Schizosaccharomyces pombe: one gene and its partners. Changing the gene in region 1 together with any one later gene gives a genetic interaction. Each region holds a gene or a part of one and is shown in the gene's direction. Other genes may lie near its edges. The genes, in order: ndk1, msa1, mkt1 and SPOM_SPAC17C9.11C.

Region 1 (6,552 bases):
TATAACCAAGGAGCGTTTCCCCAGCTCGCATTGTCAAGCTGTTTTAACTCTTCATTGTACTCAACAATGTCTTGACCTTCACCTTCAAGGGGGACTAAAGGACGATCATTTTTGATATCTGACTTGAACGCTTCCAAGTCGTTAAGAAGAGGCTTCCCTTGTGCAACCACCTCAGAATCCTTAGAAGTCGAAGCCAATTTGGATAGGCGTTCAGATACATCTTTTTCAATGCCAGTTAAAATAATACCCCATCGACGAGTAAAGCATTCGTGACCAAATGATTCAGGATCACTAGTCATAGAATACGCTAGGTTAACAAAGCATTAATATGAGGAATCTCAAAACAATAATAATTTAGCAAGAAATCTTTATTCCCTAATAAAGATAAACTAATTAATTTTTACATACGGAACGGTGGATTTAGAAACTTCATTTGGACGATTCAAAAGAGATACAAACAATCACCGTGGTGTTAAGTGAACTACTTAATATATTGAAGGATGCAAGCGCCAATGCTGAGATCGCTTGCCGATGGTGACATAATATTATAAAATATAAGTAAGAATAAGATCTCGGAGAAAACTATTACTACTACTTCTAATTTAAATCTGACATTAGTTTTACGGTAAGATTGGGATTTGTTCGAGTCAATATATATATAGTATACAAATTCTACGACGGATGAACATAGATGAAATCTTCAAACGAATATATATTTATTATTGAATGTACTAAGAATTATTAAATGCATTGACTAGTACAACTTTTAAGCCGACTTCCCTCTGAAATTTTGTCAACCATGATTACGACGCTACCATCGATTTCATCAAACGTTTGTAGAGTAGTTTAATTTGGGCTTATTCTGTACTTAGCTTTAGCAGACGATCACTCGATGTCTACATAAAAAACGAATTGAAGTAGGTTTCTCCCTTTTTGATATATGACTGACTATACTGAAACTGCTCAGTACTGTCTTGGGGGGTTACTCAGAACTTTTACTACATAGTAGTATCGAGTTATATCACGGATTGCGTAGCAGGTACCTGCGTTGTCGTCGGAAGCTGCGTTATAAAAAAATGTATTTTACTTCAAAGATTAAACATGTATGTTATCTCACAGCTAAGTACATAAATATTTTATTTATTGATTGATTGTTGATCCTAAATTTAGCGTACTAACAGAATGGCGGCATCGAGTTAAATGTTTGAAGATAATAGTAATGTAAAATCAACAAAATAGTATAATTGAAAAGTTCCTTCTGTTACACCGATTCCATTCAGTTCAGTGCTAAAAAAATAAAAAACCAAACAATGCTAATCTGAGAAAATTCTTTTATAAACTAATGCAAATGATAAGCTATGGATTTAAAAGTTAACGATAAATAATCAATTGTAAAAGTCTGAAGAAAATTCAAAAAAATTACAAGTGATGAGTGTGATGTCAATATCAATAAATCGTAAAAACACGTAAACGCATAAAGTAAAAACTGTAAAATAATAAATAAAATTATTAAAAATGATTTTATAATTGATTTGCGCACTTGCAATATGTCGAAGGTATCTAAAATTCTTTTAGTCTATCATCACATACGATACTATTTTTTAAAATACATTTTGAAGATTTTTAGAGCAAAAATACTATTAAACATCGACCATTTGCACATTCGAAATAGTTAGTGTTTATGACGTTTAAAAAAATTACTACTAGCAAAACAAAAGTATTCTATTAAAATGCTGGTACTAAGAAAATGATAAGACAAAACATATAGAAAGTAAATTTTTTATATAAACACTTGATCGTTTCATTAATAGGCTCAGTTTTGAGGTGTAAAGATTTTTACCTCTTAATACTCCAAGCACTGACATTCCAAGGTCAGTAGTAACAAAACAGTAACCCAGGTTACTGTTGTTTACAGTACTGACCACCCAAACTACGTAGTTTTTCCAACTTCCTGTTGCAACTACTAATACATCGTGGAAGACAAACACTCTCAATTTTTTTTACGAGCATTTTGTTTTCAAAAAAAAAATATAGAGATTATGAATCACCAAAAAAGACGCGCATAAACGTCAGTACCTTCAGAAGTTAATCTTTTTTCTAAGGATTAATTAACCGCGTCCTTCTATCGCTCTTACCAACTTGCCTTGTCTATTCTATTTCACGCTGCTATCATAATTAAAGCCTCCTTCAATCGAAGAATAAATAAAAGGTTTAATTTAGGAATGAAGAAAGAACATGCATCAGCATTTCGACAACTTTGGAGAGCAGGTATGGCCGCGGCTATTTCAACTAGATTTCCTGGCCATCGATTTGTAATCCGGGATTTGCTTCGTAACGGATTTCGCCAAAACAATTGCTCCTTTTATTCAAAGGAAAAAGTTGAAAATACAGTTATATTTTTGGAAATGGCCGCGAGCAGGAAATCTGTAGAACACTTAATACTAAAAAATCGGTTGCATATTCAAATGTTTCGTCGTAAAGCTGGTCAACGCCTTGCACATTATTCGACGGCTAAGGAAAGGCCATACTTCTTATCAGCGTATGACACCTATGAATGGTGTCTTCAAAGGGTTGGAACAATATATAATTTATATTTATAAAACATTTCTATTAGAAAATAATGTTCCATTGGCTTTATTAGAATCCGAATTCTTGTCAGGTATAAGAAAATAAAACTACAGAGCACAGAAATCGTGAAACAAGCCATTCAACTAATGTATAATAGAAGAACAGAAAATAAACACTGGATTACACAAAATTACTTATGGCAGACCAAGAAAAGTGTCTCATAAGATTTATGGTTCCATACGCACAAACGGCGACTGATAAAAAATAGTTTTCACAGGTTCAGCGTCACGATAAAGGGCGTATCTTTCTATGTACTGGATAACGGAATTGGGTAATAAATATCGAATTGACATGCCACGACGAATAAACAACCGAACCTTGGTAGATGAGATATCGTTATAAATAAGTTGCTTTATGACGAGGATATTTCCACGATATGCAAACATAATATCGTGAGCTAATAAGAAAGCCCAGACGTCACTTCCTGTACGTTCTACGATGCAGCAACCAAATTTACCCAAAATATGATGAAGATCTTTGTCGGACCACACTCCAGGTTCACCCATGCTCGCAATCAAATCACCTCCTGCCAATAACATAATTTTACAAGGTCGTTTAGTACCATCCGATAATGTTATACCACCTCGTTTCTGATTTATTTCTTCATCAAAATGATCCAGTACTCGTGCTGTACAAGTATAACTAGGTTGTAGACTTTCCCATGCATCCACCATAAGCCAACTAGACGTACGTTCGCATGCCAATTCGCACATACGTACACGATGATAAGCTGGTGCAAGGCCTTCTTTTTTGTAGTGGTCATTAACCGGAGAAAAGTAACCAGCAACTAATTCCATATTAGTCTGCTCCTGAATAGTATCTGTAGCCATTTCAAACATTCGCAAGTGTAGATAGGTAATAGGAGAGAAAGAACCGCAAGCGACTAATACCAAAGGGATTTTTCCTTCATCAACTAAATGATTCCGAAAGCGATGTTTTGGAAATATATACTCATTTAGTTGTCGGGCTTGTCTAGTGATTCCACGCGGTACTTCTTCAAGATCCATCACCTCTCCTAAACTAGCAACGTCAGCTTCACGCTTCTCTAAACTCACGCTGGGGCCTCCAGAGGTAGAGTTCTTTTGCCATGCACGATTGACGCTGGGCCTACGAATACGCTCTTCGTGCTCTTTGGCAGCATGTTCATTCAACCAGTCTTCATCTGGACTAAATTCGTCTGAATATTGAATAACGTTACTGGACGAAGAATTACGAGACAACAGGGGATTCTTCGGAAATGAATTTGCAAAATTATCCCCATTCATGGTGTGCATATTAAAAAGGAATTATGACGAGGAATGGTAGACAATCACAATCGGGTCAATAAAGAAACAGAATCGGTAATAATAATACAAAAATCGATCAAAACCGCGTATAATAAGAAAACCCTCTTTTTCCAAATAATGACAGACAACAAGCGAACAAATAGGATCAAAAATTTAAAGGCTGCGGGAGAAAGAGGATACTAAATTCTAAAGAAAAATGAATAGCAAAGTAGGATATGGGAAACGAAGGAAAAAAATTAAAATTACCCTTTAGGTATGGAAAAACGATAATGTATAACCAGCGTCTAAATTTGGTTGGAATTACTTGTGATTTCTTAGTGCAACTCTCGAATAACAGTTGTAGAAAAAGAATGAAGGATAACCTATAAAAAGAATTGAAATAAAAAAGAAAAGAAAAGAGGAAATTTGACGACGAATCGCAAAAGAAACGTTTCCCGATCTAAGCACTTTTATGTCCTCAAAGTTGGCTCAAAACTGATATTCAGTGCCTCTTGTCACTAATATCAATAATAAATATTAAAGGTAAACCTTTTTGAAAGGAAAACGGTTCTTTTTAACAACCTACAGCTTAAACTGATATTTTTTGCGTTTTTGGTGGTATAATGGTTATGCGTACAATGGTGACTTAATGTGCAGATAAACAGCGCTCGAAAAGAATGTAAATAAAAAGTGATGATACTACAACTGAATTGTTAAGAAAAACAACTTATCCCTCGTCCGTTTATGAGTAAAATTGTGAGACGGCTGTCATGCTCATTAGATAGACATATAATGATTTAAGCTTATCTAAATCCCGGATTTTCGAGTATATGCCATTACGAATATACATAAATTCGCAAACAAGGATAAAACTCTAGGAATAATCATAAAAGCCTTATTCGTATATCAAGACAATGTTAACAATTATATGTATAGGGATAACTAATATATGTACGGAAAAAACCGTTTGCATGAAGTGATGTAGATGTACTTGGAATTGTATCTATTATCAACTGGTTGATAATCAAATTTTGCAGGTATCCCAATACTAAGTTGGTATCAATTACAAGTTCTTCTAACTTTTATTAGTGGTTTCATTCGTTACATGGTCCTAAAACAGTAAGAAGTTGGCGATTGGGATAATAACAAATCCATTATATAGTATACAATAAGCCTTACAATCTTTTGATTTGTGGAGAGTTTTTACGTATGTAAAAAAACAAAACTGGCTTACCGTCTACGGGTACGCTTTGAATGCTTTGTAATGTGTTTGTAAATATGCATTTTTTGTAAACAATAATTTACGACCATTAAGATATCTGAGGCTTGGTGCTCTAAAAATATAAGAAGGTGTACTATAACGATTCTTATCATTTTTTATTATTTACATCTGTTTCCGCTTTGTTTATGCAATCATATTGTGAGTGTTATTTGTCCTTGCTCCGTAATCCTTTATATGGGATAGTAGACGGGACAGCTCCCATCTACTCAACCACCTCATATCACCGAGTATAAGCATTTTTGATATGTCGACAGAACAAACTTTTATCGCTGTGAAACCGGACGCAGTTCAGCGAGGACTGATTGGATACATCATCTCAAAATTTGAGTTGAAGGGCTACAAACTACGTGCTCTAAAATTTTTAGTTCCTAGTCGTGATCTTGTGGAAGAACATTATGCCGAACATAAAGGAAAGCCTTTTTATGAGAAACTCGTTGGTTTCATGGCATCAGGCCCTGTATGTGCCATGATATGGGAAGGTAAACAAGCCGTGAAAACTGGTCGCTTAATGTTGGGCGCCAGTAACCCTCTGGATTCTGCCCCTGGCACTATTCGCGGTGATTATGGTATCGACCTTGGTAGAAACGTTTGCCATGGTTCTGATTCCATAGAAAGCGCTAATCGTGAAATTAAACTTTGGTTCCAGCCTTCGGAAATCCAAGTTTACGATCGTACAATTGAACCTTGGATTTACGAATGAATAAGAAGAAGTTAAAGAGCCTCTTCAAAAGGACTCGTGTTTGTTATGGGTGATGCAAACTATCAGCAACACCCAAAGCAAATAAATATGACTAATGATTTTCTACCTTCATTAAAGCACACTATCATTTTTTTTAATAGATATAGGTCTTTTTCAAATATCATTCGTTAGTAAACGACATGAAACTAGAGAAATCGCATGTAAGTCAGTATGGTTTTACTCATCCAAAAGGTTACTTTTATGAAATCTATTGATTCTATACACGTAATGGTAAATATTATGGCATTTTATCGTAATCATGGCATTATAAGGAATAATAAGTCAGCCAAATTTCGTCTACATCGATAGGCAGAACTACCAATGGGAACAGAAGGATGTATGAGATTGTCCGCTAGTTTCGCTATTATATTACAGGTTTGGTCCAACGTAAATAACGGATCATTTTTAATTCCTGAAACGGTCGAAATTTGATATGTATTTTCCATGACATCTGGTAGCTCTTGCTTTTGACAATTGAGCAGCTCTTCATTTAAGAGCTTCTTTATGTCATCAACAAAAAATTCAGATAAACATTTCTGCTTTTGCTTTAAAATAAGTTTCTCTTTTTCCCCTATTACAGATTCATCATCAACATCATTATTAAGCGTTTCAAAAACGCCGTTGAATATAGAATTTTC
Region 2 (10,308 bases), 2.1 Mb from region 1:
GTCATAGATATAGACAGGAACCACAAATTTAGTAGCGTAGTCATTATCAATAACGGCATCTAATTTTAAATAGAAAAAAAAATTGAGCTTTTGAAGACCTTTTCTATCCTCTTCAAAGTAAGAGAAATGAACCCATTTTGAGTGAAAATTTGCATACGCTATGTATAGGATTGACCCCAAGATAAGCGCAGATGAAAAAAGTCCTAGCATTGGCAGACATGAATTAGAGCATCGAGTAAACTATATTTCCAACCAAAAATATAAGACTTTCTTTCAAGAAAACCGACATTTCGTAAGACCAAAAGGCCAACGAAACGCAAAATCAAAATTATCACAAAGGAGGATTTTCTAAACTATGCACTAGAGAATATCCTACTGCCTCTCGACAAGATCAAATCTCAAACACCTTTAGGCTTGCACTTACATGAAAAAGGGTATTACAATGCACCGATATTGGCTAAGGAAAGAATAATTGCTGGGATGGGGGACTATTTATTCGGTAAACCTGAGTACCATTAGCATGAACGGAGGGGAGGGTGCGACGTCAGTGCCCCATGATTCTGTCCATTCAACAACTAGCCAAAACCGAGGAGAGGAACAACCTTAGCATATAGACTCGCTTCTGATGTCGGTGAATACGAAATACAAAACCACTTAAAATTCAGTAAAGTGAAGAAGGTTTGTGGAGAATGACTTGGGCAACAAAGCCGAAATCCACCAAACAGTAAGAAAAAATTGTAATGAAGAAAGAAAGCCTTATTTATCACATATTTACTAATGAACTTTAGCCTACAACTTACAAACCCGTTGAAAAGTCAAATCTCACTTTTATGATTGGGACAGGCAACCTTGCATGGAAACCCGGTTCATCGTCGCAGGAAAAAATAATATTTTATTATTTAGATGTACTTTGATCAAAAATAAATTAAGGAGTAAGAAAATTTGAAAAGAGGCGTATCCGATGTTTCCATAATTGTTGAATGATACAAATTAGACTACATAGATTGATATTATATCCTTTCAACAATGAGAGAAACGAGATGGGTATGAATAAGTATTGATTTCCTACCAACAAACAATTTGTACATTTTATGCTTTGAAAACGTACTGATCTACATTACCATAGTGTCTTGTATTGTTGGCCTTGCAAGTGAAGTGCTATTTACTGTTACTATCAATAAACGCATCTTTGGTTCTTGGTTACCATACTTTGTGCTACAAATTTTATCTCTCATAAGTTTTTTTTCTTTTTTTTTTTTTTTTTTGAAATTTTAAATAGATAACAAGCCGAATTTCGAGAATTTGCTTGTCTTGATCAGGTAAAAAAGGGTAGTTGCTCCGATCGATCGAGCTAATGATATCAGTAAAGATCAAAATTTAGGAGAACTTCCGCGGTAGCGGATTTCTCAGTCAAACATAGTACTACAATAGATACAGAAAAGAATTGCTTAGCTATGCAAATATTTACTCAATGAACGTTGACTGAAGTAGCTTCATCTCTTGCATGTGCGTTACGGCAATGCATATGCATGTATCGGGAGTGAATAAATGAATAGAGATGTTGACAAGCGACAAGAAAATAATTTTTATAGGTAAGAAAGTTTTTGATAACTTTTTCTAACTGCTCAACCATTGCTATTGACGAAGTTTAGATGGATGTTTTTTTCTTAGGATTGCTAGTGGTAATCGCTATTTTCACTAACGCTAAGCGTTACAGCTCGTTTCGCTTTTTATTCCCATCCAAAAACTTGGACCCCAATGAGACAAAGTGGGGGTGGAATATTAGAATTGCGACTTTTAGATCGTTACTGAATACCATTCCAAGTATCCCACATTGGAGAACCATGTGGGGAACCGTTCGAGTTGGTATTGTACATACCCCGTCGGCCAAGGTAAGAGAGCGTGTAGACTGTAGTTACTACTTTTTGGCTAGAGGATTCAAAACTCAAAAATAGCTCTTAAAAATAAATATAGAAATGAATTAATTCAAAAACATATAATTTTTCTTCGGGATTCCTTTTTTTTACAACAACAGTCATTTCAAGTGCTTTGACTTGACAGACGCAACATAAATAAATAAATAGAACACTTTGATGCAAAGTATCGAATTCCAACATATCTCTCTAGACTGCTTTTCTATTAAAACCATGACTACTAGTGTTTCCATATAAAAATATAAAGAGATCCATCAACAACTAATACGTACATATTAGATTTTGCATTCCCAAATTGCTTCGTTATTTCACATACACCCATTTATTTAAAACGAGTTAAGAGTAACATCATTTGAAATCAACTGAAACATTTATATAAGCTGATTTTTCACAATCTTGCTATTTCACTAGTGTGGAACCTGGAGCTGCTTCATAGTTTTATACAATAGCATAACAAAACTCCAATAATCTCATTTATACTCTGACTCACCAAGTCGATGATGTGTATCTATTTAGGTTAAATTGATCAATTATATAATTGTTTCTCATATATTCCCTTACTTATCGTATTTATTATTTATTTATTTATTTTTATTTTTTGGAATATATACCGTCTAATTAATAATAACATGATTCTATCCACTACGTTATAAATAATGTTGGCTAAAAAAGTTTCTTTACGTAAAAAAAAAAAACAAAGTCAAATTGCTTTGCATACATGTGTCCAAAATTTACGATTATTGAGAATGATAGATAAAATCATAAATAAAAGTTTTGAAAGTGATGGAAGTTGCAATTTTCTTTCTTTATTGAAAACTTGTGCATCCATTTGTATTAGTAAACCAGCTTGGATTGTTAGGTAACTGTTACCCCAAGGGCATCTGGTCTATACGACTTGAGTGGTGCAAATATCCAAGTTGTACCTCATGTCTTCCAATCCGCTATAGCGAAGACGATGTTTGGTCGGAACGATTCTCTCCATTCATCGATTTTCTTCAGCTTCTTCTAGCAACGCTATATATATTCGTGCTCTCCGCCATCTGCCTCTTAAACACTCGTATATCGTTTATCCTTTCATTGACGGTATTCCTTTGCAGATATCGTAAACGAGTTTTCATAAAATTTAATCCTTTTTTGTTTATCTCTTACTTCCTTTGCCCATTTCCATCTCTTCACATAAATAAGTACGATGCCTCGTAGACGTTCTGCCGCACCTCCTCCTCGCCGTGCAGCTCCTGCCAGAAGTGCTTCCACTGCTGCTGCTTTACCTCCTAGGACAATGGCACCTCCTCCTGCTCCTAGTCGTGTGCAACAGGCTCCTCCTCCCACCGCCGTCCAAGGAGGCAGCTCACCTGGATTCTTCGGCAATCTGGTTAGTACAGCGGCTGGTGTTGGTATTGGAAGTGCTATCGGACACACGGTTGGCAGCGTCATAACAGGCGGTTTTTCTGGAAGTGGTTCCAACAATGCTCCAGCTGATACTAGTGTACCTCAATCTAGTTACAGCAACAGTGTTCCAGAAGCCGCTTATGGTTCAGCACCTCCATCCACCTTTGCCAGCAGTGCTATTTCTGAAGAGGCGAAGAATGCTTGCAAGGGCGATGCTAAAATGTTTGCAGATTGTATAAATGAGCATGAGTTCAGTCAATGTTCTTACTATTTGGAACAGCTAAAGGCTTGTCAGGCCATGTGGTCCAACCAACAATAAGAGGCAATGAACTAATTTATTTATTTTTCTATTAAATAAAAGTTATGCCCAGTTTGTTTGCATCAGCATCAGCATCGAAATTTTTTTTTTCATGTTTCTACTAACGAGAACGTTGAACCCTAATAGCATTTGTTAAGCAGTAAATAATAACTGGTTTCCCTGGTATAAGACATAGTATAAGAACGAGAAGAAATAAATCATATATGGTATTTTTTTTGTTTGGTTTAGTAATGAAGTTCTTTTTTTTTAAAATGGCCCAGTAATAAAAAAGTTCACGAAGAACGTAGTTAGAAAGCTTGATAAATAAATTAAATGAAATCTATGCTCTTTAGAAAGTTCTATGATCTGGCTTGGAGAAGAGTAGTACATAACAGTATGGTAATGTAGTTAGAGCTTCTCTTAACATGCGTACGTTTTCATACCTCTTAATAGTAGGGATGGTTCAGTTCATACAGCTACCTAGTTCACCCCATCAATCAATCAATCAATCGATACAGTCACTCTTCAAAGCATTTTGAGAGTTCTCCCACAGATTTTATGCTAGCTGGAGTTCCGACTTGTTTATTAAAGTAGGAAGGTTGGAAGCGAACCATATCTAACAAACTTTTTTCAAAACGAAAATTAAAAGCAAATTAAACTTTCATTGTCTTACGTCCCATGTTAGGGGGGGGAAGCAGCTAAACAATGATGATTTATAGATGGTTGCCTCGGCTATTATTTACTTTGTTTCATATCTGAAAGAAGAGTAAGGGATAGGATACGCCAAAGATCCACCATAAAACGGTTTATCAACAAAAGGATCATCATCGAATTTGGTTTATGAGTCTTTCAAATGTACTCGTGTTTGTTAGTTTAACATACTATTGCATCCACTAGAGATAGTTAAGAGAAGCTGATTTACAAATGATCGGTTTCGACATGTCTGCCAAGTTATACTTTTAACGTATTACCAAGAAAAAAAAATTTACGGGACGGGGATTCCATTCTTGCTGCTTTGGTTTATACTGTAAGCATAACAGCAATCTTAAATTGAATCGTCTTTGCCAAGCGCATTTGTAAGAGTATTGTATGCTATGCCACGCAGTGCATTTTCATATCCAACGCTACATACAATTTGTTGTTACTCTTTCTGTAGACCATTTCGGAACGTTGATTGAAGATCGGAAAATTTAATGTTTCGTCCAGAAATTGTCTGCATATGTAGTATCACAGAGAGTGTCAAGTCATATCTGACAGCATCAGGTTAATGAGCTTAATTTGGGCCAAAGGCGAGCTAGAAAAGAAGAAGAAAAAAAGAAAAAGTAAACAGTAAAGAAAAACATATAACGACTCTTATTCATCCTTCCTCAGCATTCCCTTTTTCATATTTTTATCCCATTCTAATCCTAGTCTAAGAAATGCTGGCGATATAGACCGAGTCTACTGGTGTCTGGAAAGGAACATAGCTATATCTATATATAGATATAGATATAGATATGTATGTATGCTTGTATTTCGTTGGCAGTTTTCTAGTTTAACTAGCAAAATACAAGAATTAAAATTAGTATTAGTATTATTATTATTATTTTTAAACATTTAAACATCGACTAATTTTTTCAACATCTGTTTTCACTTTCAAGTATCGACTACTTTCTACATTCCAACGATCCATTCTTTATTATAGATTCACCCTTTTCCTCGATAAATAAGCACCATTACACATACTTAAAATTTTTGTTTCAAAGGGAAGCTAAACTGTACGACGATGTTTATCGTTATACTCAGCTGTCACTTATCCAGAACTCACTCCATCAGAGTGCGTGCATTTAGCTTGCTCCCTGCACATCCCACTACAAAGTGTTAGAGATAGGCAATCGGAGTTAGAATACCGAGACTTTATTCCAAGGTAAAAACACATCTAGAAATGGGGACAAACAAAGAAACAAAAGGTCATGTGAATGTTAGATTCAAGGGGTAGAGTTCGATATCTCAGCAAGCGATTCCTTTTTTTTTTTTTTTTTTTTTTTTTGAGAAAACCTCGGTACACGCTAAGCTGGCTTTTCCTATTGTTACTCCTTTTACTACTAGTATTATACTATTGCTTTGCTTTGTTGAATAAACAGTCTATAGAACGCTCAAGAAAATACGACGAAAATAGTTTATTCATAGCTTGACAAACTAACTACCTTTGTTTTGTTTTGTTTTTTTCTTTTCTTTTTTTTTTCGTTTCTTAGCTTGGCTATAGCTTGCGTATTCTGTCTTTGTCAGTCATTAATCCAGACAGTAATATAACATATTCACCTTGTTCTTTTAAAGGTCTCCCTTTTTTTCTTTGTTGCTCATCTAGATTGTGCTTAATTTTTTTTTTGTATACTAATCAAAATTCAATTTATTTTTCTTTAGTTATTTATTTGTTTTTTTTTTCGCTTTATTGGATCCTATTGTAAAAAATCATCTTTTTCATTGTGCTTGCAATTTACCTTTCTTTGACGATTACGCCTTTGTTCACGACTTTTAGCATTCTTCCTTTTTCTATCTCCATGGGGCCGTTGTTAACTTACTCCTAAAATTTGTAGTTGCTTATCTTCACAACCAAAGGATGCTTCGGTGCAGCACCCAATTTTTAGCCCATTACCCTGTGCCCAATTCTCAATGTCTCATCATTTGTCAATACTAGCTTGTTCCTTATACTCCCTGTAACCCACTATCTAAGACATTGTGGAGAGGGAAATGTTGGCAGTAGTGATATACTTCCGAATGGACAATTGCCTATCAATCGTGGTAAAGGAGAATGGCTAGAATTTAGTAAAATGATATGGCCCAAATAGAACGGTAAAATTACTAAAAGATTGAGGATTTGAGGCAGCGTCTTGGTCGTTTGACTAATTATTAGAGTGTAAGCAGGATTCGGATGTATTGCTCCTTTAGTTAATCATATCGTCTGGTTTTGCTCCCTAATGTCCCTTGTCCTCTTTTATGCCGCCTACATTACCGATGAAGAACACGTGTTGAAATCCCCGAGTTTGCAAGTAGTCTTGATATACAATGTCTTTTCCTCGTATATTCCGAGCAGATCTAAACCTTCGTCGTGAATAACCCCCTTCTTTGCTTTCACCTAAATCAATTGCTATTCGAGGGTTTTCGATTCTCTCCTTTCTCCATTAACATACTAAATTCAATTTCTCTTTGTGTGGGTTGCTTCCTTTTTGCTGAGACGTCTCCCCGTCTTCCATCCTGTCTTTATCAGTTTTGTTGCATTTCTGATCACCCATTTTTTCTTTTTTTCCTTTTCTTTTGTTATCTATCGAATACCTCCACATTGCTTGAAATACTAGTGAGACTGCGTTTACCTTCTCTTCTCATCTGATTCTGTCTGTGCCATTGAGCTTTCCTTCGCTCTCCTCTTGCACCTTTTGTTGCGTTTACTGGCTTCTTTATTTTTATTTGTTTTCTTTTTCACCTCAAACTTTCTCTGTGTTCAGCTTTTCGAGATATTCAACTGCAATTGTACTGCTCTTTGATTCTTTCACCTTTTTCAATTCGAACTTGCTACTCCCTCAAGCTTATCCAATTATTTTTTAGCTTCCACTTGAGAAGAGTTCTCTCTATCCATCACCCAAAAACTGAAATTTCATCTTTGTGAAATTTCTTTCACGGTCTGATCACCGTGCAAGCTATTTCTATTCCCCATTTTACTTTTCTCATCATCTGACTCTTATTCTGGAAATACTCGTTTCCCCCACTCAAATATATATTTATTCTTTGGGCTTTCCTTAGACTATTGTTAGACTGCAAAGTCTCGTTTGGTTTACCTACTGTCTATCTCTGGTTTTGGTTTTTCATTTTCCATTTCTGTTTCAGCTGGTTTCTCAAAATCTTCATCCTTTCTTTCTTTCTTTCTTTTGACTCGTCATTTTTAAGAGCCATTCCATTTCTTTCTTATTTATACGTGTATAATCTCTATTTTATCTTTGCATTTTTGCACTAAATTACCATACGCTTGCGTTTTTTTCTTTCCCTATTTCTGCAATTTTATTACCTGAGTAAAAGTTTTCCCATTCGTTTTTTCCTATCCCTTCTTTGATCAATTTTATTTATCTTTTCTTTTGACCAAATTTTTTCTCTGGGGTTTTTTTTAAACTTTGTTTTGAAGGAAATTTTAAATTAATTAACTTTTAACTTTTTCAGTTGAAATACTTTTCATTCTTTTTTCTACGCAGCTTTTGGATTGCTGTTGACACATCATCTCATAACTATCTATTGTATTCCATATAATCGACTGATACGACCTCCATCCCACTTTGGCGCAGGCATCTCGTATAAAGTTTTGTCTTTTTAATTTGATATCAATCCGGCATCCTTGTTTCATGCCCCTTTATAGATCCTTTCTCATTCCAAACTTTTTTTTTAAACACATTATTTAAAAATGGTTGTTTCCTCTCCGTCTGTATCTTTATTGCATTCTCCTGTCGAAAAATTATCAGCCCAACTCGAAAAAACAACGCTTTTACAAGACATTCCCCCAGGTTCTTTATCCGAAAATGATAATTCCACTACCTTTATAAAGCCTCCTTTGGAAACTGCATCATCAAGCACCCCTATCCCAAGTTCCTCTTCCAGTGGAGTATTAAATCCGTCGTCTGTCCGTGGAAAACCAGTTGCCTGTTTATTTGTTGCTAGCTTAAACTCTTCAAGGTCTGAGGAAGAGCTGACTGCCACTGTTAAAGATTACTTTCAACAGTGGGGTCCTTTGTTGCATGTCAAAGTTTTGAAAGATTGGTTGCAAAGGCCTTATTCTTTTGTTCAATTTCAAAATACTGATGATGCATCGAAAGCACTTTCTGAAGCCCAAAACACGATATTGGATGGCCGTCATATACGTATAGAGCGCGCCAAAGTTAATAGGACAATCCGTATATCCTCTGCACCCCATCAACCTTACATTACAAAAAAAGACATAGATAACTTATTGGAACCTTATGGCGAGGTTGAAGATGTCACGGAAATACCAGATCAATCCGCTTTCTTAGTACGGTTTGTTTACAGGGATGAAGCAATCGCAGCCTATACCGCGCTTAAGCATTCTGCCTGGCCTGTACTTTGGGCGGAAAATGTGACATATCAAAACGGTCACTATAAGAAGAAAGGTTCCTCCCCGTTTTCTCCACCTAACGCACATAGTCGAAGGCGAAAGTCGCAAGGCAAAGATCAGTCGAACACTCCTGTTATCAAAGCACCTGCCCCTATTCCATTCTCAGTTTCTTCCGATCCTCCTTCTACCATGGGAAGATCAAATTCCGCGGTTCAAAGTCCCTCATACTTTGCTCACTCATTGGTCAATTCTACTGAATTCAGTACTCCTAATGAATCTTTAAGCTCCTTACCGAGTATATTACCTTCAATACCCTCTTTAGAAAGCGGCAAGGCCGAACTCCCAACAGATGGTTCTTTTGAACAGCCTGGATATCCCATGAACCCCTCTATGATGTTTGCTGCAATGCCTCCACCGATTGATCCTTATTCTATATTCGTTGGCCAACTCGACCCAGTAAATTGCACACACTACTTACTAGTTGATCTATTTTCCAAATATGGAAAGGTAATCGATTGTAAAATAATTCATCAAAGCAAGAAGCCTGCTTTTGCTTTTCTAAGGTTTGATTCTCAACAAGCCGCTTATGCTGCCGTCTGCGGTAAGACGAGGTCCCCACACCAGAAAAAGCCTTTGCGTGTTGAATTTCGTCAACTAAGACCAATGCAGCAATTTTCCCCTCAATATCAATATCCCTCCTATCCATATCCGATGTTTCCAGCGCCATTTTCACCACCTCGTAATGCAATGATGCCAATCCCTGCACCCATGGATCAGTTTTCAACATTTCACCAGTCAATGGCTACCCTTCCTCCTGGTGCCGTTCCCACATCAATTCCTCAGTCGTACTATCCCATTTATTCTCCAGAAATGGCTATGCCTCAATCGTACAGTCCGATGTATTATACGCATAACCCACCTATGGATGGGAATTAGATTTATTTTGAATTTCCCTTCATTATCTGATTGAGGTTTCACTTCTTTATACAGTCCTTAAGTGTCGGAGTTTTTTTTATTAGGTACATATTCTATAAAACACTAATAATTATCTAATTTATTTTACTTAAAAGATGCAAATTGGCTGCAATTATATTTAAAAGATTTAGAGTCATAAATGTTATTATGTTCATATATATGTCTTCTATATAATTTTACGAATTAGTGTAACTCGTAACAGTTCTCTACTTTACGCATTAACGATATAATGATATTAGATAGAAGTTTATTTATATATGCTCCCAAATATAGATGTTCTCACACATGTATCGTATACACTCTAACCATTTGATTATTTTCACTACATAAATTTTTACAAAAATACTATATAAAGTCAATTCATTTTATGAAATTTTTAATTTGAGGCTGTAATATTACGTGAACTTTTTATTTTGGCTTACTGGCGAACTGAAAAAAGAAAATTAGTTTTTTTTTTAACAGACCTCTATTTCATAGCTTTAGACTTTCTCAAAACACTAGTTTCATATAAATATTCCTTATAGACACTAAATACAAAAAAAGGTTCGTGAGGTAAAGAACCAGAAAAAGAAAAAAATTATAAAGACAGGACAAGCATAAGTTTACAAGGGACTATTATA
Region 3 (9,021 bases), 770 kb from region 1:
CGATTTAGTGCCGACCTCATTTAAACGTTTTTCCAGCATGCTAACTCGGGATAGTAACTGATCTATCAATTCGTCAGCTTCGCTACCCCGTTCAAAGCGCTTGTCATAATTAGTTTTCCCAGGATCTATATAAATACATGACTGGATTGTTGATCGCTTTAAGCAATTGGAACAAGGTCTTCCATGATCACATTTAAGTTTTTTTCTTCGACAAGCCAAACACGAATGGATCGCCCTACGTGATGTCTGCCCTGATTTTTTAGAACCAGACTTGGTTGTTTCACTCATATGCTCTTCTTAAACATCAAGTTATATAATATTGTGAAAGATAAAGTACAATTGAATGCTAGATTCTTCTAATTCTTGAATCAATAGACGTCAAAAAAATGATACTTGCGACCAATTGACAGGAGCGAAAAGAAGTTAATTCCGTAATATATAAAAAAGTAGTCTTGGCTTTAAATAGGCAAGAATTATATCTTTAAATCTTATTGCTATACTGATTTTGAACCAAAGACACTTGTGTTTGGATGTTGGCGAAAAGTAAATTCGTAACACCAAACACAAGGCACACTGGACAACTTTTATAAATATCCACTAATTTCAATAGTAAGCAATCTCAACAGCAGACAGCTTTCGGATAACATGCGTTAGATACGTAAAGCACTCAAATAGAAACATATAATTTACACAGGGATTTAATGCATTTACTAACAAATTACCATTCTTAAATATGACTGATTTCTATTTCAAAATTCAATTGCCTGCCTTGCGACAAACTATCCATCAAATTTAGTACTTGCATTTTTTTCATTGATCACAATTTATACCCCGTATGTATAAAATCTTACTAAAAGGCATCTTAATTGTCTGAGTAAGAACTTTGGTTAAGGGTAGACGGTTGAGAGCATGCACTTATTTGAATCACTTTATGGCATTTTCTTTATAATAGTACAACATTGCAGAAGTGAATGACATCTAAAGCTACTGCTACTATGATTTTGCATTTGTCTTACTTTAACATTATCTACCATGCGTTTCCAACGAATCCTATTTTAAAGTGTAAAGTCAGTTAAATGTTAACTGTGTGTACCTTCCTTCCTTCGAACGATCGCATTTATTGTTGACAAACATTACTCAAACTTTCAAATGACTTTTATTCAAAAAATTTTAAAATTCTACCAAATATTTGTAGGACAGAGAAAGAAAAAAAAAATATATATGATTGTAGGTAAATCCTTAATTTAAAGAGGTTAAGTGCGTTCTAGTATCTGTATTTTCAAATAGTAAACATAAGTAACATGTGACCTGTTTAATTTAGCATTAAAATGGAAAAAGTATAGAGCAATTAGGGTGCCTTGTAAATAAAAAAATTGCAATTCAATCTATAATTTTTTTATTAGTATCATTTTGCTTATTTTTTGAGTCCGTACGAAAGTTACGTTTTGCCTTCCCAAATTGCCGCAATGGTAAATTTTCCGCGCACAATTTAATCAAGGCTATTATCACTGAAAAAATCTCAACTGCAAGAATTCTTTTTCCTTCGGCCAACACTTGCTACGCAAATTGAATTGCCATTTGAGGCAGATTTTTTTGTTTAAATTCGAAGAAAAAATCCCAATATTAAGTCATGTCTGAGAAACAAACTATCAAAGCCCTTCCTGCACACAATCCTACTCAGGTGAAAAAACTTGGTCCCGTTAGTGGATTTTTGTCAGGTGGTCTTGCAGCTTGTGGTGCTGTAACACTGACAAATCCTTTCGAAGTTATTAAAACGCGTTTTCAACTTCAAGGTCAATTGACAAAATTGGATCCTTCTAAGCGAATTTACAAAAGCGTCGGTCAGGCATTTTCTCTAATCGCTAGACATGAAGGTATAAGAGGTCTTCAACGAGGCCTTGGTACTGCTTATGTTTATCAAATCTGCCTCAATGGCTGTCGTCTCGGGTTTTACGAACCGATTCGACGTACTCTGAATACGTGGTTCCTTGATGATCCCAAGGGTAATAAATTAGCTATTAACGTTGCAAGTGGCGCCGGTTCAGGTTTATGTGGTGCCTTGTTTGGCTCTCCCTTTTTCTTGGTTAAGACTCGCATGCAGTCGTATTCTCCTAAATTTCCCGTTGGCCAGCAGTATGGTTACAAGCATATATTTAATGCATTCAGTCGTATTATTAAGGAAAATGGTGTTAAGGGTTTGTTTGTTGGTGCTGATGCTGCCATTCTCCGTACTGTCTCTGGTTCCTCTGTTCAGCTTCCTATCTATAATTGGGCTAAACGCATGATTGAGCATTACAATCTATTGGAAGAGGGTATGATCAAACACTTAACTGCTAGTGCTGTTTCTGGATTTGGTGTATGCTGCACCATGCAAATTTTCGATACTGTTATGACTCGTATGTACAACCAAAAGAACAAGGAGCTTTATAAAAATCCGATTGATTGCATCCTTAAAACAATCCGCTCTGAAGGATTCTTTGCCTTATATAAGGGTTTTGGTGCTCACTTGGCCAGAATCGCTCCTCACACAATTTTCTGTCTTACCTTCGTGGAGCAAACCAATAAACTCTTTTTGAAATTCCAAAAGGATTAAGTTGTTTTTTCAAACGCACGTTTCTTTATTTATAAATAATTTTGGTACTAAACCATAAAAACCCCCAGTGGCTTTGGTGTATATCAAGTGAACAGTTAAATTGTAAAGAAATGATGTTTGTATCTAAGAACGATTTTTATTTACATTCGTTGTCTCGTTACTTATTTCCACTCTACTTTCATTTAAAAGTCGATTTTTCTTTTCAAGCTGTTTTTGATCAATCGGCATGTTTTTGTCTTTTGTAATATATATCCGTCAGTTATCTCAATATATGTACGTATTTGTTTTTGGATTTCAGGCATCTGGCTGCGTTTGTATATCAACTTACCTTTTATTTAGTTATTAATATACTTATTTTCTCTATAATTAAAGATTGGAAACATTACCGCTTTGTGTAGTCACAATGGATAAATTTCTTCATTTTGCGTCGTTTTTATTTGAAATCTTTACATTTCGCCAACAGTTATATGTTTTTTAGATAAATCATGTTAGTTTAATAAAATATTTTCTGAACTTCTTATCGTAGTATTCGTGTTCACTAATTTGCTCGTTCCTGCTGACTCTAATAAACGGATCGGACACCTCTATTCAGTACAACATAATAAAATCTGAATATATCCGTTACATATAAAAATAATCTGTTTGTTTTTAAGGATCTATTAAAGGTTTAGTAAAAAAAAACCGCCTTACGGTTTAAACTGCTGTTTGGTAAATTCAGTTAAAAAAAAGAAAAAAAATGACAAGTAAGTTAAAATACCTTGCTACTCATCTGCTAATTTTTTAGTTCGTTCATTGAATTTGTTTATCATAGACAAAAAGCATCAACATAAATCTAGCTTGAGCAGTTTTCAAAACTGTAAGTTGGGTATTGACGCAAGTTTTTACTTGACTCAAATTATTCATTCCTTTACCCCACAGGAACTTCAAAGTTTGGCAGTAAATGGTGAATCCGAATATCTACAACACAGAATTTCGGAATTCCTTGAGCAGTTGAGAACTGAGAATATCACACCCATTTTTGTTTTCAATGGTATACCTCTTACCTTTGAAGCCAGCAGCCAGCTGGAAGTGCCGGGAAAGCAAAAAAGTCATAGTGCATTGACAGATTTCGAAGCTTTTGATCCTTATGATGCAAATATTCAGCGTAATATGTACCGCATGGACGCAAGTGGTCCTGCGAATTACGGCGAAAGTAAACCAACACTTTTGTACACCAATCAGCGAGATCATTTAGATCGTCTTTGCGACCAGGTAAAGTTTTACTTAGATCAATGTAATGTGGAGTATTTTGTCGCCCCGTATCTGGCTATGGCTCAATTAGCATATTTTCTAAACGGCACATCTTCACCTTACATCGATGCCATCTATGGTTCCACGGATCTGCTTCTTTTTGGTGTTAAAAAATTTATTACTTCTATGAACACATCTTCTAACGTTAAAATCTCATCTGACCCTTCATCCCCATCAACTCAAACAACTATCAATTCGGCCGCTAAAAGTTCATTCACATGGTTAGATGGAAATGCCCTTCTTCAAGACACGAACGGCCTTTCATGGCAGCAGTTCATCGATTCCTGTTTATTGTGTGGTACTGCTATTTCTCCTACATTTCCTCAGATTGAGGGTACTTTTCTAATTAAAAGCGCAATGGAGCTTGTTCGTATGTTTGGTTCTGCGTATCGTGCAGTCCTTCATTTTGCTGAAATCTTTCCCCAGCCCATTTTTCAAGATTATCTTCAACAGTACAAAAGGGCTGTTTGTTTCTCTAAGTTTGGAATTGTGATGGATACAAAAGGTCTCACTTTACCACCAGTTCCCACAGAATCTGTTCCTAACGACATAAATATATATTTTGGCACCCGTCTTCCCAACGAGATTTATTTTTACATTTCTCGCGGTCTTATTCCTTGCAAAATGATAGGTGCTTTAGTATCTGGATGTTTTAGTGATCCTGTTTCCATACTTGAACAACATATTGGTGACAAAGCATCACAAGGAACATTTTCTGGTGCTAATTCTGGTTTAAATCCTGGTCGCGACAATGCAGCAGCTGTAGCGGCTGTGGATCAACGGCGATTTGTTGACGATTTAGAAGAAATATGGTCGCAGGGGCTAAATTTATTGACCCAACCGCTTAACAGATTTTACCAAGCCAGAGATATTGTTTCCCTTCATGGCCATAATCAGCAAGCTTCTTTGAAGGTAATGCACAGCTATGATCCTCCTTTGTATAATGATACGAGAGCATGGATGATATACGAAGAAAACTTACCGAGTTATTTATCTAGTAATTTTTTAAAGGAAGAACCCGTTGTATTATTTGATCTACTACGTGCTTTGAACGATCCGGTATTTGTAAAGAAAAGCTTTTGCACTGAAGGTAATATTGGCATAAAAAACCCTCCCAAGCATCCTCTGTCTTCTACTGCGGAAATCGTCTTAAGTTCTTGCTACAGATTTTTGCAAATTAGATCTTTCGTTTTAACATCTCATCAATTAACATCTTGGGGATGCCCCTTGTTAAAAGCGTTGGAAAATTGTCACTTACAGAACCAAACTTCCGTTGTTGTTTTATTCGAGCTTCTTAGACTAAGACAATTAAAAGAGCCCTCTTTACTTTCCTCCTCAAGTGCAAGCATCGCCGATTTATCCATAACTTCTGCCACAGAGTTCTTGGCAAAGGTTGCAACATTTCTACCAATAAAACAGAGACCTGAAGTTAGTAAAATTTCTATAGTTGATGAGAATTTATTACAGTTTTATCAGCTACAAACTAGCTTCGGATCCAACTTGAAGGAACTCATGGCCATGATTCTTGCCTCGGTCATCTTGAACAGAAACGTCGACAAAAGCAAAATAGATCCTAAACTTATCCGAAAAACGTACGTGTTTTTTTCTCTTTCTCCTTTTTTGTTTATATTTAAAGTTTCTAACCAATTTAGCTTACCTTTTCAAAACATAAATGGTAGCCTTGTCTCAGGTTTTGTTGTCAAGCGCTTTTTTGAAATCATTTCAAAAGAGCAAGAAGCCAGTTCTCAACAGGAAAACATCCAGAAGGCTTATGAAATAATAGAAAAGGAATTCCCAACCATTGGATCTGCGGAAAACCATATTGCCCAGTTTTTGGAATTCTGGAAAACTTTTATGGAAGGGGTTAAGGAAGCAGAAAATACAAGTGCCATTGGCAAGCTCGTTTTAAGTAAACTCTTCCTTACTAACCAATGGATATTTTCTCTTGGCTTATGAAGACCAGAACTAGTAGTTTATGAATAGAAATAAATTAGTGAGAGAAGTATCCTTCTTTTAGCGGGAGCTTTTAACACATTCGGCACAGTCATAATGCACATTTACATGAATTACTTTCCCTCATACTGTCGAAGCATTTTCAACATGCTATACACTCATGTGATTACACTTGATTATTGTTGAGATATTATTTCGAACAAGTAAAGTATTGTTAATATTAATATTCAACTACATTGTTTCTTCCCGAAAAAAGGAAGGGAAAGAAAAATAGAGAAGCACAGCTTTGAATGAAAACCCAATGATGTTTAAACTTTTTTATAGATATAGTTTAATTTGTTCTAAAGGATACTATATTTATTTTTAGCAATACACTTACCTGTCAAAAAATAACTTATACCGTTGTTTTTACACTATAGTATGGGAATAATTTTTAACTTATTTGATAAGTTCAAGCGGATTTTTTAGATTTTAGTTTATGTGTACTGGCTCACTCACAAAAAACCGAATTCGCATCAGAAACATAATTTTACCTAATCAATTTCACGAATTAAAAACCTTGTGCTTACAGAAAGACTTGCTTAGTTTAACCACTTACAAGCTGGATAGTATAATTTTGTTTTAAGATATTTACTGTATAGATGCTGTTTACGACAACTTGCTAGCTTTGAGAATCTCCAATTCTCACACTAACATCTAATAATATTTGTCGATAGTTAACAAAATTCTGACAATGTCAGTTTTTAAATATAAACGGTAGTAGTTGAAGTAACTGACAGTTAATCAAAATCTCTGTAACTTATTGTTTACATTGCATATTGCGAGACTTGACACACTATTTAGAAAGTCTTAAGCAAGCGTAAGCCATTACTGTGGAGTTCATTAAGCTTAACTTTAATGAACTGCTATTAGTGTAGTCTCATTTTGTAAGGCGTAGCACAATGTCCCGTGTGGTTCAGCAAGCTACCATCAAATAATAGTTTGATTTTCCATTTGGTGTGAATCTAGCAACAACCAACATTATTTGTTCAGATGCACTTATGAAGTCTAGTGGTATCGCAGGCGATTCCAATGGATTTGAAACAAATTTTCTAAATGAAACGACTAATCGAGAAGAAGATGGTGCATTTAATTGGAACGCTGCAGATGATGGCACTAACGAACGAAGAGAGGATATTCATGTACGATTTCAGGATAGCGCTCTTCCATTAGGAATTGATGAAAATGAGCTTGATGAAATTGATATAAATGGGGACAGCAAAAAATTGGATTCTGTTGAAGTTGACGAATCACACGATGTTAATTCGCCATCAGATAGCAGACTGAAATCATCTTTCAAGTCGGTATTAGAACTGACAGCTAATTCTATGGTTTCAGTGTTAACTCCATCTACCAAAACTGAGCAGACCTCGAAAGGAAAGGGAAAAAAGAAGAAAGCACATGTTTCCTTCCTAGAGGGACCTGTGGAAGAAATCCCATTAGATGATATTGAGCCTACTTCTCCTCGTGAGGCATCACCTGTGTTCAATGGGCGTCCTCCAATTCCTCCGGAATTTTTAAAGTCGCGGCATAAAGAGTTTACAATACCAAATCCTTTGCAGTTCATTTCCAATTTCTTATCCAACTTGTTTTCGCGTGATACACGGTATTTGAAGTCGAGTCATGGTCGAATAATTATCATAAACCCTTACGATGACTCCTCCCAAATTGATGAGCGTACAGGAAAGCCCTATATGCAAAACAGCATTGTTTCGTCTCGGTACAACAAATACAATTTTGTCCCTTTACAGATCATTGCTCAATTTTCAAAAACTGCCAACTGTTATTTTTTGCTGATTGCTATTATGCAAATGATTCCAGGTTGGTCAACCACCGGTACTTACACTACAATCATCCCTCTACTTATATTTATTTCAATTGCAATCCTTCGTGAAGGGTTTGATAATTATCGGCGATATCGCCAAGACCGCGTAGAAAATAGAATTCAAACTCAAGTTCTTCGTCACGTTGATGTAGATCCGCCTATTGTTGAAGAGCACTCATCTTTTTTTCGTCGTCGGCGGTGGAGAAGAAGTAGATCTCAAGAATCTGCTTCAAGGAGTACTATTCGATCAACTGATGAAAGAGAACCTGAAAGAACCTCAGAAGATCCACCTCAACTTCCTCCCTCTCCCTCTTCCCCCTCTTCTCCGGCGTTAAGTGTCAAACCTAACATTGACCCGCAACCCCCCTTGTATAACTCTACTTTAACTACTACTCGCTCCATACCTGCAAATAAGCCTACTTTTTTTTGGGCTAGCTGTGATCGGAAAGATGTTCGAGTTGGTGATATTATTCGACTGACAAGTGATCAAACTCTTCCAGCAGACGTAATAGCTTTGTCGAGTCCCAATCCTAATGGCGCTATTTACATCGAAACAGCTGCACTTGATGGTGAAACATCCTTGAAAACTAGACTAGTAAACTCCACGCTCCGCTCTCTTTGCAAAGACATTAATGATTTAATACGATTGAGTGGTACGTGTACTGTTGAAGACCCGAATGGTGATCTTTACAATTTTAATGGAAGTATGAAACTTGACTCAATACAAGGAGAAATACCATTGTCTAATAACGATGTTCTTTACAGAGGCTCGAATTTGCGAAATACTTCAGAATTGTTCGCTTTGGTTATTTTTACTGGCGAGGAATCCAAAATTCGCATGAATGCTGTTCGAAACGTTAGTGTAAAGGCACCATCAATGCAAAAGGTCACTAATAGAATCGTAATTTTCATTTTTGCATTGGTTGTTAGCATGGCTATATATTGTACTGCTGCCTATTTTGTTTGGCAAAAAAAAGTGGAAAGGAAGCTGTGGTATCTAACCAACAGTAAACTTTCATTTGTTCCTATCCTTGTTTCTTTTATCATTCTTTACAATACAATGGTTCCAATTTCCCTTTACGTTTCTATGGAGATTATACGTGTTTTTCAAACATTTTTAGTGCAAAGTGACATTGATTTGTACTATCCAGAAAACGATACTCGATGTGAAGTTCGAAGTTCCTCAATCCTTGAAGAGTTAGGTCAGGTTACACATGTTTTCTCCGATAAAACTGGTACCTTAACCGATAATATTATGCTTTTTCGTAATCTATCTGTTGGCGGATTTGCATGGCAGCATGTCGGCGCGGAAAATCCTAAG
Region 4 (6,693 bases), 4.2 Mb from region 1:
CATTTTTAGCATCACCAATAAGTTAGAATTGACTACTGTTTACCAACAACAATTAGTTAAATAGTTATTGACTATAACATTGATCCATACGCACAATTACTTCGAAAAAAATTATTATTTTGCTCTTCCAACTTAACGATTTTCTGTACTGCGTTAACATATTATTGTAGGCTTGACACTCAGCTGCGGTGACATTATATTAAATAAAATGTAATTTTTTCAGTAAACAAATTAAGGAATTAAGTAATAGTTTGGTAACGTCTCATGAGAAGAAAACTCTTGAGCCACTAAATTGTTCTTACCATTTTCCATTATCTTTTTTAAGAAATCGAGGTTCTAATTGAGCTGGTATTGCGGGCAATAGAGCTTCTTGTAATATAGAAATTATAATCGACGGTTTTATTTCATTTGGGCTGAGAAAAAAATTAAATTGCTAGCTTTCATAAGTCGATACACTGAGCAATAGCCATCCTTCCGGCTTTTAAAAAAGGAAGCTCATTAACAAAGTATCCTCTATCTTTGTTTTATTGTTACTACTTTTGAAATTTTTTCCTCTTTCTTTTGGAATATCCATTTCTTTGTAATTTTCATTTTCTTTGTTATAATTAATCAGACGATTTCACGTTTGAAGTTGGTATCTTTATTTGTTGTTACTGTTCATTTCCTTAATTCATGGAGACCTTATCTTATTCTCAGATTAAGAAACGCAAAGCTGATTTTGACGAAGACATTTCTAAGCGTGCTCGTCAACTACCTGTGGGTGAGCAACTGCCATTGTCGAGACTGCTACAATATTCAGACAAACAACAGCTTTTTACAATTTTATTACAATGTGTAGAAAAGCATCCTGATCTCGCACGTGATATACGGGGCATATTACCGGCGCCGTCCATGGATACTTGTGTTGAAACGTTGCGTAAACTTTTAATTAACTTGAATGACTCATTTCCCTATGGTGGTGACAAGAGGGGTGATTACGCATTTAATAGAATTCGTGAAAAGTACATGGCTGTCTTACATGCGCTTAATGATATGGTTCCTTGTTATTTACCTCCATACTCTACTTGTTTTGAGAAAAATATTACTTTTCTTGATGCCGCTACAAACGTTGTCCACGAACTGCCAGAATTCCATAATCCCAACCATAATGTTTATAAAAGTCAAGCGTACTATGAATTAACGGGCGCGTGGCTTGTTGTTTTAAGACAACTTGAGGATCGGCCTGTAGTCCCTTTACTACCTTTGGAAGAGTTGGAAGAGCACAATAAAACATCACAAAACAGAATGGAAGAGGCATTAAATTACCTTAAGCAATTACAAAAAAATGAGCCACTTGTACATGAAAGAAGTCATACTTTTCAACAAACAAATCCACAAAACAATTTTCATCGTCATACTAATAGTATGAACATTGGGAATGACAATGGAATGGGTTGGCACAGTATGCATCAATATATTTAAAAACTAGAACAGAAGGCCTATAAGGAAACATATAATGGCTAATAGGAAAGCGGTTTGCACAGTAACTGTGTTATGAATTTGAGGAACAACCTTGGCACCACTAGTCGGACGCCCAAAAGACGATGAAACGCGTGCAAGTCCTATTTGATTTCCACTGTTTCCAGCGAACATAGATGGACTCGTAGCTGTTGATTGTCTTGTGTTATTAATTACATTAGCGGTAGATCTTAATGCATTATTTTCATTGTTAGGAGAAGTGGTAGTAGGCACTGACTGAGGCTTTGGGTAAGGTTCATTTTCAGCGACTGTTGCAGTAGGAGCTTTTACGGCAGTAGATGGGGCTTCATGGGGCTTCTGGTGAGAAACTGCAGATGTTTTAGGAAGCTGGGTATGCTGTGTAGTAGCTGTAGATGGAGCAGCTACGGGATTTGCATGGGTCGAAGGAAGTGCCGTTCCGTCTATTCCTTTAGAGTAAGATTGATTAACATTACCATTTACTGTGGTATAATTGTCAGTGGCAGAAGTAGGAATAGATGTAGTCGTTGTTTGAGCTGGTTGATGGTGAGCATTAGCATGAGCATTTGCAGTACTGGGGCCTTCACTATAAACACATCGAATTTTTCGTTCCGATATATTAGCCTTGCTGACTTGAGTCCACTATTAAAGTATTGGTTAGAACATCAATTATGTATGGCATGTATTAAAAAAGTAAATGTAAGTATATCTTTTATCACATACAATATCTGCTATATCCATTCCCTGTAATTCTGGCTTCAATTCAGTGCTCTGGACCAAAAATTTATCGCGGCATTTTGTGCCAGGAGCCGGTTCGTGATCTAGAGGCTGTAGGATAACTATTAAAAAAAAAGAAGTTAGTAAATGAAAATTTACAGCAATAACTAATGAGCACAAATTATCTTCCAGTGCACGCACAAAAACAATAAAAACTGTTAGTTTGCAAAAGAAAATCACGTTGATGACAACGTTTTTGTTCCACCCGACAACATCAATGATGGGAACCGCTTAAACGAATAAAATCAAAAAATGCAAATGAGGTTCAAAATTAAATATAAATTATCTTACCTTCAACACTTACAGCCGAATTGGCTTCAATTCGACCACCGTTGGGTCTCACACAGTACTGTTTAGGAGCAGTAGTTTTCACTTTGAATCCGATCGGATAAGGTGCAGTATTGCGAAGTTCTAAATCACATTTTACTAGTCGTGTAAGTGGTCGAGGAAACACAATTGTACTATCACATTCAAGAGCCATGATTTACGGGAAAGGCGAGTTTGTTGCGAGAGGTGGTACTACTTTACTCTGCGAAGTACCATTTCGCAGTGTAGCCAAAAATCGTGGCTTTACGTCACACATACTTGTGTGTGATTTTCCGAGGCTGAGCAAAGATTATGGTAATATATGGATACTGAAATAAAAGGAGATAATTATTCAAGTAACTGTTTTCATCGATATTATACAAAGCCTTATAACGATATTATTAAAATAAATGTGATATTTTGAAAGTAAAAAGTAATATATGCTAAAAAATATTTTGCAGTAGGTGAATAATGTACGAATGCAGTATGGTTATAAAATCCCAATAAGTATATGGATTTATTGTTTGTGAAATTAATAAATGATATAAATACCCAAAAAGGATGATTCAAGTTATCCTTTTTAATTTCTAAATGTCATGTTAATGCGTTTGAATTGTCTTAATTACAACTTAAGAATGCAAGGATGAAGTAAACATTATGATTTCAAAAAAAAATTGCGCATTCGTTTACACTTTCTATTCAAAGGAAATACGTTTTTTGGTTTAGACAATCATTAAATAGATATTGTATACTTTCGTTAATGGTCATTATGCTAGGGAAAAATCAACATTTTTATTTCAAGGAATATCAGCGATGCTTTAGAAAGCATACCATGTATAAAGGAAACGAATTACTCGAGTGGATGCCAACTACAGGATCACGAAAGTCAGTAATCATTTTCAATCATCGGTCTGCGGATGTCGTGCAATATATACAATCATTTATTCTTCTAATTCATAGCGTAATCGGTGGTAACTACAATTATTTTGTTTCATTTGACCTGTCATTTCTATTTCAATGACCAACAAATTTATAATGCTCTCAACTGCGATGTTTGGTAATACGATATTGTAGATATTAGCACGTTAGATGTTGAGTCGATGGAACGTAGGGCTATTTTTGAGCGTCATTGTAATTTGCCTTTTGCAACTACAAACTCTACACAAAAATGGTTTTGAAATGTTTGGAATGCGATAAATTGCTTTCCTCCATCGAAATGGCTGAATTTCATAGTACCAAAACCAGTCATGATCAATTTGAGGAAACTGAAGAAGAGGTATGTATAGATTTTACTCCTTTTACTTTTTGCTGAATGGTTGAAGCGTTCGAATTGTTAACCATCCTTATTATTATAATTCACGAAAACAATAATTTGTTTCACTCGATCCTTTCTTTTTATTAACAACGATTATAAAACATAGATTAAGAAGCGTTCTCCCGAAGAGTTAAAACAAGCTATTGAAGCTTTAAGAGAGAAAGCAAAGGAGAAAAAGGAAAAAGAAAGGATTTTGGCTCTGGAAGAGAAGAAGACAAATTATAAAATCCTTCAAAAATCCAATGATGAAACTGCACAGGCTATGAGAAAGATGCAGGATCAAGCCCGCTTACGTGACTTGCAAAAGATCCGTCAACAAAAGGCTGAAGATGCTGAGCAGCGTAAGAAAATCCTCGCAGAAATTGAACGCGATAAAAAACGACGAGCTGCAGAACGGGAAAATAAGAATTCTTCTGTAAAAGAAACGGCTGCTCCCATCAAGCAGCCTAAAAATGCCAATTCGTCTTCTACTTGTACTCGCACCCCTCCTACATCAGGCAGATTTTCTATCCGACACGATGGTCAAGTTTGTAATATAACTATTGCAGCTGAGGAGACGCTACGCCAATTGGCACAACAGGTCGCTGAGAAAATGAACGTGTCACCGCCAACTAAGTTTACCACTACCTTTCCCCGTGCCTCATACGGCACTGATGTATTTGATAAACCGGTTAACCAACTTGGTAAGTATCAAACTAGTGTTTACTGTCATCATGTGTGACATTAGAATACATGTTTTTGAAAGAATATTGTGTTGCTACTAGCATCTAAACGACATATCTTTGTTTCCTCTGAAAACTTTGAACTATAGACATGGAATATATTATTAACGCTTGCATAGATTTGTTTCCCTCAGCCGTTCTTATTCCGCAATGGTAAAGTTATGACCTTTTGATAATTATGCTGTGTTAATAATGATTACGATACTTGATAAACTGGTAGAAGATATATATATCAAGGAAGATGGTGCTGAACGCGCCAAGTATCCAAGGCAGGTTAGCATATGTGTAGTTTAAGTAATCGGAGGCGGGAAATACGAGAATGCTGAAAGCGTATGAAGTGTTTCCTACAGAGGCCAACACAAAAAAGATAATGGATAATCCTTCGGTAGACTTTGCTTTGTGATTCTTGATGATTTGAGGAATACGAGCACAGAAGTATAACACAGAACTGATACAACCGGCAGTAAACGGCCATGCATTCAAGTCATCATCACTCTTGTCAGAAGAGGCACTAGAAATAATTAAGTTTCCAACGATTGTCGAGACAATAACCACACATCCCATTACACCAAATTGTTGACGGGTAGAAAGGCGATCCCACCAAATTTGTTGTTTACCAATGGGTGCATGAAGACCTTCTTCTAATGAACGACTTTGGAGTAAGGGTTCGTGTTCACGACTGGCAATACGACGGGCAGCTTTCCAACGATAGTAGTAAATTTGCATAAGTAGGGTACTGTCAGAGACAATGTAATAAAATGAGAGAACCAATACAGTAGAAGAGACATTTCCGTAAATGGAACCAAGTACATTGAAGAAATCGCCAATAAGCCAGATGATTAAAAATAAATCAGAGATACTTTCACCAGACTGGTTTTTATAATTTTCAAGTAATTGAGGGATCAGTAAAACGACCCAACATCCCAGGGATAATGCTCCTAAAAATGAAGACAACTCCGTGAGTATGTTAGCCATATCAAAAGAAGGAGCTATCACAGACATGGGACAAAAATGCTTGCGAACAGATAATTTTAAAATGAATTTGAGAAGAGCTTGTCTAAGCTTTTTATGGTCAAAGTTTTTTATATGAGTGTGGAGGACAATAAATAAAAAGAACGGGAAACAAAGGGCTACAAAAGCGAAGCAACCTGAAAGGGAAATCAAACTATTAATTTAATAGGAATGATAAGCAATTATTAAAATTTGTCAACTTCCTCGAACGTGTAATGCTTCAGCACTATAATATTCGCTGATTTATTTTAGCGATCCAAGAGATGATACTTAATGAAAATTCGTTACAAGTATTTTTTTTTGTTTTAAAAAATAAACACTAAAAGGAATATCTATAATAATAATAATAACAATGGTAAACAATATTTCTCCCACTGTAAAGAAACAGAAGAGATTTGGTGGTGAGTTTGGCTCTGGATAAGATCAACCTCCCAGCCGTCCTGTTATTTATTTACCTCGGGCAAGGCTATATAGAGATTTCAAGATAAGAAAAATTTGCCGCCCATGCAGTTTCGCAGAATTAAGAAAGTGTCCGTGGATTTACAGATACAATTGATAGTCAATCCAAAGGTATCATTCTAAAGAAATATAAAGGAATAGTAAGCGAAATAGATTTTCCTTCGAATAATCCTATTTCACTTAACAATATAATTCTCAATGTAAATAACAGTCGCATTAATTTTATCAATGTCAAGCTAACTCGTTTTTGTTATAAAATTTAATACACCATAATATCGCTAGCAGTATTAAACATTGAAATGTTTACGTGACTTGTTTGATTCTCAGATTATTTGCAGTAAAAGATGTGCTAATTCCATGATTTAATTTCGAGACTATAAAACTCTATAAAAATTTCTTACAAATTGGGATTTTTATTTTTTTTTCTAAACAAGGGTAATGAAAAGTCATGAACGATTCATTTCGTATATTAAAATATTAAAAATAATAATAATAAAAAAACGCTGAAAAAACTTTTATTTCTAAACTCACCAAAAGGACCCGAATAGTATATCTATCCATTAGTTTAGAAATATTTTATTAAATCTTTTTTTTTTATACCAAGTAGAAAACAAAACAAAGATTGCT

The links.
Region 2: mutations in ndk1 (region 1) and msa1 together harm fitness less than expected from each alone (positive genetic interaction), as found in Schizosaccharomyces pombe (one large-scale study listed by BioGRID).
Region 3: mutations in ndk1 (region 1) and mkt1 together harm fitness more than expected from each alone (negative genetic interaction), as found in Schizosaccharomyces pombe (one large-scale study listed by BioGRID).
Region 4: mutations in ndk1 (region 1) and SPOM_SPAC17C9.11C together harm fitness less than expected from each alone (positive genetic interaction), as found in Schizosaccharomyces pombe (one large-scale study listed by BioGRID).

The regions. Positions count from the first base shown.
Region 1 is NC_003424.3:242,509-249,060, forward strand, and holds ndk1 (nucleoside diphosphate kinase Ndk1), read left to right. Parts: upstream 1-5,383; 5' UTR 5,384-5,419; coding exon 5,420-5,875; 3' UTR 5,876-6,052; downstream 6,053-6,552. Other genes in the region: duf8901 (cobalt/nickel-dependent phosphatase), read right to left, coding at 1-307, 409-433; lyr3 (LYR family protein), read left to right, coding at 2,223-2,600; SPOM_SPAC806.06C (nicotinamide mononucleotide adenylyltransferase), read right to left, coding at 2,796-3,902; gamma tubulin complex GCP5 subunit Mod21, read right to left, coding at 6,172-6,552. UniProt on the Schizosaccharomyces pombe protein: Major role in the synthesis of nucleoside triphosphates other than ATP. The ATP gamma phosphate is transferred to the NDP beta phosphate via a ping-pong mechanism, using a phosphorylated active-site intermediate.
Region 2 is NC_003424.3:2,317,979-2,328,286, reverse strand, and holds msa1 (RNA-binding protein Msa1), read left to right. Parts: upstream 1-5,461; 5' UTR 5,462-8,047; coding exon 8,048-9,649; 3' UTR 9,650-9,795; downstream 9,796-10,308. Other genes in the region: citrate synthase Cit1, read right to left, coding at 425-426; SPOM_SPAC6C3.03C (uncharacterized protein), read left to right, coding at 1,653-1,955; mix17 (CHCH domain-containing protein), read left to right, coding at 3,124-3,642. UniProt on the Schizosaccharomyces pombe protein: Negative regulator of sexual differentiation. Acts by repressing the transcription of meiosis-inducing, ste11-regulated genes.
Region 3 is NC_003424.3:1,013,184-1,022,204, reverse strand, and holds mkt1 (post-transcriptional RNA stability regulator Mkt1), read left to right. Parts: upstream 1-3,151; 5' UTR 3,152-3,329; coding exon 3,330-3,336; exon of another isoform or gene 3,337-3,377; coding exon 3,378-5,475; intron 5,476-5,535; coding exon 5,536-5,839; 3' UTR 5,840-6,102; downstream 6,103-9,021. Other genes in the region: protein toe2, read right to left, coding at 1-288; oac1 (anion transporter), read left to right, coding at 1,631-2,593; dnf1 (P-type ATPase), read left to right, coding at 6,877-9,021.
Region 4 is NC_003424.3:4,477,178-4,483,870, forward strand, and holds SPOM_SPAC17C9.11C (zf-C2H2 type zinc finger protein/UBA domain protein), read left to right. Parts: upstream 1-3,704; 5' UTR 3,705-3,727; coding exon 3,728-3,835; intron 3,836-3,980; coding exon 3,981-4,557; intron 4,558-4,614; exon of another isoform or gene 4,615-4,715; coding exon 4,716-4,753; 3' UTR 4,754-4,782; downstream 4,783-6,693. Other genes in the region: nuclear proteasome tethering factor Cut8, read left to right, coding at 673-1,461; scs22 (VAMP/synaptobrevin-associated protein family protein), read right to left, coding at 1,465-2,118, 2,200-2,315, 2,545-2,734; G-protein-coupled receptor Stm1, read right to left, coding at 4,783-5,598.